Linked DNA regions of Sus scrofa. The protein of the gene in region 1 binds, or shares a complex with, the protein of each later gene. Links are inferred from orthologs where the notes say so. Each region holds a gene or a part of one and is shown on either strand. Other genes may lie near its edges.

Region 1 (4,261 bases):
CAAGCCGAGTCTGCAACCTACACCATAGCTCATGGCAATACTGGATCCTTTCACCCACTAAGCAAGGCCAGGGATCCAACCTGAGTCCTCATGGATACCAGTTGGATTCATTACTGCTGAGCCACACAGGAACTCCATGATTAGCATGTTTGATATAAAAATATCAAGTCTTTTTTGTGGGCAAAAATTTTTCCTCAAAATTGTTTTCCATTTTACATGCTATTTTAATGTGTTTTTTAAACTTATTTTGACATAAACAGAAAAGTTGCAAAGATAGTAAAAAGAATCCCCATGTACCCTTCACCCAGATGTACTGCCTTTTAAAAATTAATTGCAGGGAGTTCTCATGTGGTGCAGTTGTCACTGCAGTGGGGGTGGGTGGGCAGGGTCGGTCTGATGCTTTGGTGACAGATTCAATCCCTGGCCAGGGAACTTCCATATGCCTTGGGTGCAGCCAAAAAAAAAAAAAAAAAATTAATTGCACACTATGAACATTTTTTTATGTCCACAGACACCATGGCCAACATTTATTACTGGCCAGGTGAGCCTTTTATCCACCATGACTCTGCTATCCCCACAATAACCCCTTAAGACGAATACCATAATTTCCCACGCCTCACATATGAATAAATCAGGCCTTAGATGCTTCCAAAATGTCACTTCACAATCCTTTGTTATGGATCTTTGATTCCTATATTTGTGCACCTACTCCTTAGGTTTTCGATGCCATCTCTAAGTAAGATTATCCACAAAATTCCCCCAAGCCTGCTGGCAGGGCTGAAGGGAGGTCCACAATCACCACAGCACCTTAAATCCATGTCCCATCACCAGGCTACGCCATGGCCCATAATGCACAATGACTGACTACATTTAAAATCTTATAGTGATCTTGTAAACAGCTTAATGTTTCATTTATGATTCAAAATTACCTCATCAAATTTAAATATGTAAATCATACTCTCCTCTCTGCAACCCTACTGGATATTAGTTCATGTAAAAATGTGTGTCCATCCTATGTTCACAGAGTTATTCACAGTAGCAAACAGTAGAAGCAAACCAGGTGTCTACGAACAGATGAATAAATAAAATGCGGTGTCAGGGTGGAAAAATTTTCCTTCTATTTTTCTAATTTCTTTGGCTAGTCTAATGGTTAAATTGTCATAAAAAAGATTAATAGGCAAGGAACCAACTTAATTTCATATGTATGGGAGCCCTATAAAAATAAGAAGGTAGTCAGGCAAGTGAGGCTTATCTGCCCTCCTGAGCTGAGGGAAGGGTTGGGGCTGGAGCTTCAGAGGGGAGGAGGGCCACTCACAAGAAGAGAAGAGCAGGGCAGAGGCTTGGTGATTAGATGTTTGTCCTGCCATGCATGTAAGTCTTTTATTTTATTTTATTTTGATTTATTTATTTATTTTTTGTCTTTTTGCTATTTCTTTGGGCCGCTCCTGCGGCATATGGAGGTTCCCAGGCTAGGGGTCGAATCGGAGCTGGAGCCGCCGGCCTACACCAGAGCCACAGCAACGCGGGATCCGAGCTGCGTCTGCAACCTACACCACAGCTCACGGCAACGCCGGATCGTTAACCCACTGAGCAAGGCCAGGGACCGAACCTGCAACCTCATGGTTCCTAGTGGGATTCGTTAACCACTGCGCCACGACGGGAACTCCCCAAGTAAGTCTTTTAGATAGAAAAGTTTCTCTCTGGTAATTGCTTTTTCTGGTCTGGTCCTTATTTAAATTCTTTTAGGCAGTTAAGGGAGAGCTACAGGCTTTCCCTCATATTGCTGGATACTGACTGCCTTTGGCTCAAAGCAACCCGCGTGCCAAGTTGGCACACTTGGGGTGGCTATTCCGCTACCCTTCAGGGCTCGTGAAAACCACAGAACATCAACCTGCCTTGAAAAAGAAAGGAGCGTGCTACAGCGCGAGTGAACCTTGAAGACTTTATGCTCAGTGATGCACACCAGTCACAAAAGGACAAACACTCCAGGCCTCCTGTATGAGGAAAGAACGGTGGTTGCCAGGGACTGGGGAGGGACAAATGTGGAGGTACCCTTTCAAGGGTACAGAGCTTCGGTCTTCGGCAAAATGAACTTATATAGAGCCTGATCACAGAGCAACGCGATGTATTTAATGCCACTGAACTGCACACTCGAAAGCGACTAAGATGGTTAAGTTCCACGCTGTGTGTATATCACCGATATTAAGTGTTTTTTAAACTTACACAGGATGTGTTTCACATTAATTAAATAAGCAAAGGGTCTCCGACCCGACGCTGTGCTCAGAGGCAGCCCGCTCCGCCGCCCCACCTCCCGGCAGGCCTCCTGGGTTAAGCGTCACTCTGAGGCGACCCCGCGGCCAGAGAAGAAAACCTGCGAACCTGGAGCCCCGCACTGAGCCTTACACATGTCGTTCCCAATGGAACGTTTCGGGATTTGCGTCTTCGCTCGAGGAGACCGAGGCCCCGTGAGTCTTAAAGGAAAACACCAAGCCCGCAACAGTGGGCCCCCATACACTTCCTGGGCTCGGCTTCTCACTCTGTACCTTTCGCGGCAGGTCACGCCTCAGAAAGGAGGGACATAGCTCAGACCCCGGGTCACTGCTGACTTCGCGGCCCAACGAGGCGCTCTGAGGGCGGGGGAGCCGGGTGGGGAGGGAAACACGCCGCCGCTCACTTTCATTTCCGGCCGCCCAGCCAACGCCTCCATCTTGTGCCTTCTGCCGCTTACTGACAACAAAGGCGCCGGGAAATTCCGCGGGAGCCGTCTTTGGCTAGAAGCCTGCTGCAAGCCCTACGCCAGGATCGCCGCGTGTCCCAGAAACAGAACAGCTTCTCAGCGTTCCGAACCGCCCCATAGGCAGCCGCCATTTTGTACGGCAAACCCCTCTATTTCCGCGACCGGCCGCTGACGTAACTGGCGAGGTGCAAGCCAACAAAGGCCGCGCTCATGCCCTCTGGCGGCGGTACAGGAGCAGCATCGCCAGCTTTGACCTGCGGGGGGACTCTGCTTCCGGGTCTTCTCGGGGGGCGTGGCCCGGACCTGTGAGCCGAGCTGGGGCGCGGCTGCGGTGGCCTGGGAACGTGTGTATTGGCATTGGCGCGGGCGCTGTGTGCTGAGCCAGCATGGCTTGATGGGCTCGGTGATCTGTTAGTCACCGTGTCGGAAAGGCCCGTGCTGTTGTTGCCATTTACAGATGAGAAAACAGCGTCCACCTTGCCCTCCCCATTCAACCTTAGTGGAGGTGGCCCGGAGGTCCCTCCTTTATATAAAATGGGGTGACGTTATCTAATGGGCAGGGCAATTGCAAGGACTGAGTTTTCCAATCACAGTATCTCCTTAAATCTCCGTTTCTTACCCACTCGTAATAGTAAGAACAGCAACCCCTTACAGCATGTGTACCACTTGGTCTACAACCCTATGAGGCTCGTTTTACAGGTGAGGACAGGGAGGAAGGCTCAAAGTCCCCCAATAGCTGGTATTGGGGACAGTTTGGGGTGAGAGATTGACTAACTGTAACTGCTACACATTCTCCCTGTCAGGTGTGTGCAAAAAAGGTGGTAAAGTAACGGAGCCCAACCCTCATAGTTGTTGCAGCCTCCTGGGACAGACACTGGGGCTTCTAAGGCCAGGCCCCTCAGGGGAGGAAAGAGATGAGGTAGGGAAGAAGAGGGGGAGTACCAGAGGGAATGGGCTGGAGGCACCGAGAAGCATCTTTGTCCCTTCTGCACCAAAAGTGAGGAAATGGCTTTCAGCCTGAAAAATGGGAATCTGGGATGATAGTAATGATGATAATTGCTACAACACACTGAGCAGTTACCACAGCTACCACAGTAAGCCTTAATCCAGCCTCAAAAATGGAGACAACTTGGGAAAAGTAGGTCCCTTATCCTTGGCAGTCTTTTACTTACCTATGAAGCTAGGGCAGAGAGGATCCCTGTCCTGGCCACCTAGCCAAGTTGTTATGAGCATAGAGTTTTGGTGTTCTCTTTGCCATCTGATGTGGCTTTTTTTTTTTTTGTCTTTTTGCTATTTCTTGGGCCGCTCCCGCGGCATATGGAGGTTCCCAGGCTAGGGGTCCAATCGGAGCTGGAGCCACCAGCCTATACCACAGCCACAGCAACACAGGATCCGAGCCACGTCTGCAACCTACACCACAGCTCACGGCAACGCCGGATCGTTAACCCACTGAGCCAGGGCAGGGACCGAACCCGCAACCTCATGGTTCCTAGTCGGATTCGTTAATCACTGCGCCATGACGGG
Region 2 (3,627 bases), about 62 Mb from region 1:
AAGACCATGGGAAGGGGAGAAAACACATTCTGGTGTTAACTCAAGGAAAATAAGGTAATTCACAGTACTCAGTTGTAAGAAACATTCTGCCACTGATTGATTCATTATGATGAATTACACAAAAAGCACACCTCAGTTTTATCTTTGGGCAACACAAGATGGATAAGTCTACCTCCCAGAAGCTGCTGAGAGACTGAATGAGGCATCTGGAAGTGGTGGGCAGAAAACATACCATGCAAAATACTGGTATCAGTTTACAAAAAGGTCCAAACACCGCTACAGGACCAGACTAACCAGACGTGAATTGACACCAGAATGGAAAAGGAAGTTCTTGAACTAGGCAAGATGGTCACAGAGGAGCAGAAGGAGGAGGATGGTGGTGGACGAGGAGGAGGACTGGCTCCCAAACCTGCAATGGGATCTTCAACTATAATGGTGATATTCCTGGGGCCTCCTGTACGTAGACAGACAGGTGCAGAGGAGAGTCCAGAAAAATGAGAATAGACAGAGTGAGAAAAAGAGTGTCCTCTTATCTAGCAAAGGTGGGGGCTTAACTCCTGAGAGGGAACCCTAGCGCAGAGGGAGGGGTGAGTCATGTGAGAAGCTGCACAGGACCCACACTCCCTCAGATCCTTCTGCTTAGGTTTTCTCTAGCTCCCTTTTCCAGTGCAGGTTACCGTGGTTTCTGGAATCCACATGGATTCAAGAATGGGGGCAGGGAAGTTTTACATGCTCAAACGCCAGTGGCCTGGAGTACAGCAGATACCAGGTCTGTTCCAGGCGATGTGAAGGAAGGTTCTAACCCAAACACTCTTCACATCTAAGAAAGCTCGTGGGAAGACAGGCTTTGATTTGGAGATTTTTTCTTTTTCCTAGAGTTCCAATGAGCCAAACCACATCCCTGAGGGGACACAGAGACACAAGTTTGCAGTTCAGAAGTCTCAGATGAGGACCTTAGCTTTCACCTTTTAGAAATTACAGCTTAGGCCATGAAAGGAAATCTTCCTTTTTAGCTCTTAATTTTTAGTTTTATTTTTTTATTTTTTGGTTTTTTTTTGTCTTTTTAGGGCCGCACCGGCAACATATGGAGGCTCCCAGGCTAGGGGTCCAATCGGAACTATAGCCGCCAGCCTACGCCACAGCCACAGCAACGCAGGATCCGAGCCGCGCCTGTGACCTACAGCACAGCTCATGGCAACGCCGGATCCTTAACCCACTGAGCAAGGTCAGGGATCAAACCCGAGTCCTCATGGTTCCTAGTCAGGTTTGCTAACCACTGAGCCATGATGAGAACTCCTTGTTTTATTTTTATATTTTATTTCTGAGGCTTTTCCACCCAGAACTGGCTTTGAGCACAAAAGTCCATGTTCTGCTTGCTTTCTGGGAGATTCTCTTACAAATGAAACCCAACCAAAGCCTGCCAGACACCAAAAACCTAGGAAAGATGGTGGCAGGGATATGGCAAAAGCAGCGAGATCTAGCCTGGCCATGCCTAGGGTGCTCTCAGATAGCAGCTGGTGTCTGTGTGAGGGAGGTCCCAGCAGCCAGGGCCTCCTTACCTGACTGCCTTTCAACCTGAATTAGTGATGTAGCACTCAGCCCCACCTGCTTATTTACTAGGTCACATCATCCCACATACACTATTATCTCTGGTTTCAGTAAGGAAACCCTAGTATCACTCTGCCTTTCCTATACCATTGCTACATCCTGACCAAACTTCTCAGCAATCACAGGAAGGGGAGGAATTTAATGGGACTATTTTTAAAGTTCATTAGTACTTCCCTTCAGTTTAGATATGCATTTAGAAGTTGAACTGTGATTAGTCACACTGTCTTCTGATGCTAAAGAACTAGTGAAAGGATCCAGGAAAGTACTTACTATTTAGCAAGGCATAAAGGAACACACACAAATATTCCCAGAGAGATTTCTTGGATAGCCACATTACATTACAAACTTTTCTTTTTCATTATAAGCAGGATACTCATTACATCAACAGAAACTTAACTTCTCTTTCTGCCATTTGAGGACTCTTAAGAACAAACTTTGCCTCCTACCCTACATTCAGGAGGCCCCTTACTGATGAGGGCTGGAGATTATCATTACCTGGAGCTCCTCTGGAGGCAATGTTGGTATCTGAATGGGAGCGAGTATGGCTCTTCTTTGCCCCACCGGTGACAGTGAGTGTTTGCCCCTCGGAGAAGCTAGACCTGCGAAGGACACCGGACAGCTGGCTCTGCCCACCTCCCTCTTGGTCCCCTAGGGAGGAAGCAGCAGAATCTGGCTTCTGGGAGCTGCTGGAGGAGAACAAATTGGAACTGCTGCTCTCAGCATTGCTGTTGTGACTCTGACAGCTGGCAGTCCGGCCGCGGGGGTCCAGGTTGCCAATGGCCAAGTACTCAGGCCCCTCACTGGCATCACTTGGGGAATCATTCTGGCTGCTGACCCAGGATGCTTCTAAGGGGCTGGTCAGAGTACTGGAGCTCATCTCATTTGGGGTTGAGGGGGAGTCCCTGGCTAATGCAGATGCTGGAAGCACAGGAGCTTGGATGGTTTGATCCTCTGCTGATGAGACATGCCCTCTGCTTTCTTGAGGCTTCCGAGGAGGGCCAGACAGTGAAAAGGAAGTAGATCTTCTTTCTAGGATATAAAAATAAATGGAAGGGAAAGGTGAGCTAGAAGCCTTTGGTAAACATGAAGGGCTTCTCCACAAGTAAGGACAAAACTCCCTATCGTTACTGGGTGCCCAGGACACATGGTGTCACCTCAGAAAAGATGAAGTCACACAAGGTAAATAAAAAATGCAGCTAAGCCAAAAGCATGAGCTCTTGAGACAGTGGCTTCATTGCTTATTAGTATGCATTCCTCATCTATAAAATGAGCAATAATAATAACACCTACCTCAGAGGATTCTTTTAAGGATCAAATGAGAATATATACAAATTGATCACAACACAGCCTGGCAAATGGCAGGCACTGAATCAATGCTAGCTAGCTTTTATTACAGAAATGCCTTCTTGGCAACGTGGATTAGAAACCCAGGGGAAAGTAAAACAATATCTCTTTTCTCAGTTACTTTAATGCTTCTACTGAATTATCCTAGGCTAGCTGCATATACTTCTTTAAGATTTCCATATTAAGACATGAAGCCTGACAAACTGCACCAACCCGACGGTCTATAGCCAGCCTGTGAGCACCCAGTAAGTCCTCTTGCTTTCCAGGGCCGGGGATATGTGCCTTAACTACCCCTTGCTCCCTCCATACCTGAGCTGTGAGTGGGTATAGACTGCTGGTGGCTAGAGAAGGATCCAAAGTAGGAATGCTGAGCATAGCTGGTTGAAGGGGTGTATGTTGAACCAGGCAGAGCTGTCAGGCTCTGGCTCTTTGTCACCAGCAGCGGGCTCTCATGCTTTCTGGCAAACTACAAAGAAAAAACATGTGTCAGAGTCAAGGACAGAGGCCCTCAGAGGAAGAGCACTTAGCGCTACAAACGCTGGCAGGAACTGCCTTTGGCAGCAGGTTTGAACTGCTGCCAGAGACTGAAGGTAAAGCATAGCTATCCTCCAATAGAGCACACAACTCTGAAACCTTGAAGTCCTGCCACACACCACAGCTTCTGCCACTGGAATC
Region 3 (3,627 bases), on another chromosome or scaffold:
CCTTGGGGGCCCTGAAGTCACTCTGTCCCTCCCCTGCCTGCTCCTGGGGGCTGCACAGGAGGCTGAACAGAGTGGACTCCGACTCCTGTGGTCCCTCAGGGCCCTGATTAATGACCTTCCCATCTCCTCTCTCCTCGGCGTCAGTGACGATGAGGATGGCTCCTGGCTCCTGCTCTCCAGCGACAAGGGAGACCACCCACCACCTCCACCCCCTGAGTCCAGAATACGGAGTTTGTATGTTGGGGGAAGAGGACGGGCGGGGGGCGGGGGGGCACCACCTTTTCTGCTCCGCTGGTGCTCACCCCGCTTGGCCTGGACTCTGAGCATGCCTGTCCCCTCCTGCTCCCCCGGTGGCCCCTTGACCTCCCCCCGCCTCATGCTCCCTTTTCTTCCACTTGAGTCCCCTTTTTCTAGCACCCCCTGCCTTCAGCCCCATCCTTGACCTCTCGGCTCTCCCCCTAGCTTTGGCCTGTGGTATCGGGGTGAAGCAGAAGCCCCTGAAGCTGACGCCAGCAGTGCAGCTCCCAGAGAGCTGCGAGCAGGAGAGGAGGCCACAGCACCACCCCATTTGGACCCTGTAGGCAGCCTGACAGCCCCCAGCTCCTGACCGGCCCTGCTCTGCTCTTGATGAGTATCTTCCACTGGGGCATCAGTTGCCCAAGAGACCTGACTTTGGAGTCTGTCTGTGGGTGAATGTGTGCCCTCGCATGAGGCCAGGGTGCCCTCCTTCCCCCCCAAGCTCGCTGCTGTCTTTTCTCTATCTCTTTTTTTGGGGGGGTGGGGGTTGCACCCATGACACATGGAAGTTCCCGGGCCAGGGATCAAAGCTGCGCCACCGCAGAGACTGGAGCCACTGCAGTGACTATGCCCAATCCTTAACCCTCTGAGTCACAAGGGAACTCCCCAAAGCTCTTTTCTAATCCCGGCCTGAGCCAGGGCGTGCCGGGGAGTTCAGCCTACCTTCCTTCTTATATCTCTGGGCCCAGCCTCGGGGCCACATGAAAGTGCTTCTTCTCCGAGAGTTTCCCCCTCCATGAAATGGAGAGCTGACTTCCTCCCTCCCGGGGGTTGGTACGGATGGCCTAAGCTAATTATAATAAAGCAACTGCCCTTGATACCCAGAAACTGCTCCACGTCTGTCTGTCCGTGGCCTGCCCCTGCTCAGCTCTTCCCGGAAGTTCCCCTCGGTTGTCACCGAGTGGGGAAGCTTCTCCCGGCTCGGGCTTCCCTTGGGGAATGTGACCAGGAACATCCATGGCGCACCCCCTTGCCTGTCACCAATACTGAGACTTACAGCCCCGTCTTCCTGCCCCCTCCAGACTGAAAGCAGCCCCCGAAGCCCCGACTCAGCCCTCGCCGTTGGCCTTCCTTTCAGTGCTGGGCGTCTGGTCCTCTCTGTGCCTGCCCAGCCTCTCAGGGAGGTGCCTCATGGCAGCCCGCCCCTCCGGCCTGGTTTCCTCAGGAAAAGCCTTGGGAGGAAGCAGGGAGGGGGTTGGGAGCTGTGGGGGCCAGACTGGGCTGAACCCTCCAGCTGCACCGGCTGCCATGGGGCCGAGGCTGTTGTTCCCTCTGCTGCTGCTCTGGACCTGGGGGACCCGGGGGTCTGAGCTGGACCCCAATGGGCTGCACGTCTGCGTGGCCAGCAGGTGGGTCTTGTGGCGGTCGGATGTGGGGGGGCGGGGAGGGCTGAACTGGTGTTGAAGCTTTGGGGGGGAGGAGGACGTGAGGAAAGACATCATGGGGCTAAACCACAAGGGGTTCAGGGACAGCCTGGAGGGGGGCAGATAGTCAGGGCAGATGGCAGAAAGTCCAGGGACAGGGATTGGGGACACTGGGGCTGTGACTCTTGGCCAGGCTTGCCTGATGGGGCTGAGGCAACACCTCCCATATCTCAGCCAGAGGCAGTGACCCACCCTGGAGCCAGGCTGTTCCCCCCCTCCCCCCCGCTGCTGACCCCTCTCTGCCCCACAGCCCCTCTGCTGAGCTCCAGTGCTGCCCAGGCTGGAGGCAGAAAGATCAAGAATGCACCATCCGTGAGTAGCCAGGAATGGACCCACCCCCACCCCTACTCCCACCCCCACCCAAGGAGAAGGGAGGAAATAGCAAGTGACCCTCCTTCCTGTCCTCCTGGGGTCTATTTGCCCTCCTGAGCCCTAGACCTAGGGACTGGCCTGTGACAACTCCCCCCACCGCCGCCTGCGGCCCACCGCCCCCCGCCAGCCAAGGAGTCAGCTCTTGAGGGGGGCAGGGCACCGAGAGCCAGTGAGAAGGGCAGAGTGTCCCCTGGTCTCTCGCAGCCCTGTCCTTCCAACTTGGGTGGGGTGTTTTTCAGCCATCTGCGAGGGGCTGGATGCCTGCGGGCAAGACGAGGTATGTGTGAAACCAGGCCTCTGTCGATGCAAACCTGGATTCTTCGGGGCCCAGTGCAACTCCCGTGAGTCCTGAGTCTCTCCTGAAGGATGAAGTTGCTGGGCAGGACTGGGGGAGAGGGGAGGTGAAGCAGGTGGGAATGTGATCCTAGAACAGCAGGGCCAGAATCCCTCCAAGCTTCCCCGAGGAAACTGAGGTCCAGAGACAGGAAGTGACGCCGTCTTGGAAGAGGCCTTGAGTCATTTGATTTTTACCCATATCCACAAAGCTCTCCCACAGCTTCAGTTTTTCATCTTCCCTTTCAACTTCTCAGAAAAGATGCTGGGGATTCCCATTAACTGCAAAATGGATGTATTCTCCCTGGCATACACTACATGCCTGTGTGGAGGGTGGCTGGACCGTGTGCCCTCTCTGGCAGAAAGAGGGGCTTGGGAAAGCGGCCGGCAGGCAGGATAGCCAGCAGGCAGCCTAGGAGTCAGGGTTGAGAGGAGAAACGGGGGGGGGGGGGGGGGGGGGGTTGTGGCTCCTGCCACCCTAATGGGCCGTATCCGGGTAGATACAGTGGGGGCCCCATGAGAGGGAGGAGGGGCAGGATGAAGGCCCACCACTTCTATGTGACTCTGGGCCAAAGGCCCTTTCCCACTCGTGATCCTTAAGTGTGTTCTGGAATGTGGAAGTGGGAGGCTGGGCCACTGCTAGGAATTTTTGTAGTTAGAGTCTGGGGCAGGAAGTGAGCTGTGCCCCAGGAGGATAGGCTGTCCCCGGCTCTTGGAGGGCGGGCCCAGCGCCCCCTCTTCCTCGTGGAAGGGGGCGCAGAGCGGGGATCCGTCCCTGGCCCTGAGCCCACTAACCCCTCTTCCGCCCCCCCGCCCCCCCGCAGGCTGCCCTGGCCAGTACTGGGGCCCCGACTGCCGGGAGACCTGCACCTGCCACCCGCACGGCCAGTGCGAGCCAGCCACGGGCGTGTGCCGCTGCCAACCCGACCGCTGGGGCAGCCGCTGCGAGTTCCCGTGCGCCTGCGGCCCGCACGGGCGTTGCGACCCCGAGACAGGCGCGTGTCACTGCGAACCCGGCTGGTGGTCGTCCACGTGCCGCCGCCCGTGCCAGTGCAACCCGGCGGCCGCGCGCTGCGATCCGGCCACCGGTTCCTGCCTATGCGAGCCCGGCTGGTGGGGCCGCCGCTGCAGCTTCCGCTGCCCCTGCCACGGCTCGCCGTGCGCACAGGAGTCGGGCCGCTGCGCCTGCCGGCCGGGCTGG

Evidence for each region. Proteins that work in one complex are often made in the same cells at the same time.
Region 2: the proteins of RAB7A (region 1) and RUBCN are in contact, whole or in part, in a crystal structure (PDB 6WCW), measured with the Homo sapiens proteins. The link is inferred for Sus scrofa from reciprocal best matches to the Homo sapiens genes RAB7A and RUBCN. Residues at the interface, in NP_004628.4 of Homo sapiens: Ile41, Gly42, Ala43, Asp44, Trp62, Gln71, Ser72, Leu73, Gly74, Val75, Ala76, Phe77, Arg79, Ser101, Asp104, Glu105, Ile108, Gln109, Ser111; in NP_055502.1 of Homo sapiens: His818, Asn821, Met822, Lys824, Thr825, Arg827, Leu883, Gln885, Ala886, Lys887, Gly888, Phe889, Ile890, Glu892, Gln895, Glu897, Ile900, Pro903, Cys915, Lys916, Arg931, Arg934, Arg938.
Region 3: the proteins of RAB7A (region 1) and RILP are in contact, whole or in part, in a crystal structure (PDB 1YHN), measured with the Homo sapiens proteins. The link is inferred for Sus scrofa from reciprocal best matches to the Homo sapiens genes RAB7A and RILP. Residues at the interface, in NP_004628.4 of Homo sapiens: Ser3, Lys6, Leu8, Ile41, Gly42, Ala43, Asp44, Phe45, Leu46, Thr47, Thr58, Trp62, Ser72, Leu73, Val75, Leu182, Tyr183, Asn184, Glu185; in NP_113618.2 of Homo sapiens: Phe248, Glu249, Leu252, Gln253, Arg255, Asn256, Lys259, Ala260, Phe263, Leu264, Glu267, Glu268, Tyr271, Arg274, Glu275.

The regions. Positions count from the first base shown.
Region 1 is NC_010455.5:71,883,948-71,888,208, forward strand, and holds the start of RAB7A (ras-related protein Rab-7a), read right to left. Parts: upstream 2,812-4,261; 5' UTR 2,675-2,811; intron 1-2,674.
Region 2 is NC_010455.5:134,322,337-134,325,963, forward strand, and holds part of RUBCN (uncharacterized protein LOC100153714), read right to left. Parts: intron 3,419-3,627; coding exon 3,262-3,418; intron 2,638-3,261; coding exon 2,104-2,637; intron 455-2,103; coding exon of another isoform or gene 410-454; intron 1-409.
Region 3 is NC_010454.4:47,853,914-47,857,540, reverse strand, and holds part of RILP (rab-interacting lysosomal protein), read left to right. Parts: intron 1-144; coding exon 145-234; intron 235-462; coding exon 463-607; 3' UTR 608-1,428; coding exon of another isoform or gene 1,429-1,646; intron 1,647-1,971; coding exon of another isoform or gene 1,972-2,033; intron 2,034-2,332; coding exon of another isoform or gene 2,333-2,434; intron 2,435-3,250; coding exon of another isoform or gene 3,251-3,627. Other genes in the region: SCARF1 (scavenger receptor class F member 1), read left to right, coding at 1,429-1,646, 1,972-2,033, 2,333-2,434, 3,251-3,627. UniProt on the Homo sapiens protein: Rab effector playing a role in late endocytic transport to degradative compartments. Involved in the regulation of lysosomal morphology and distribution.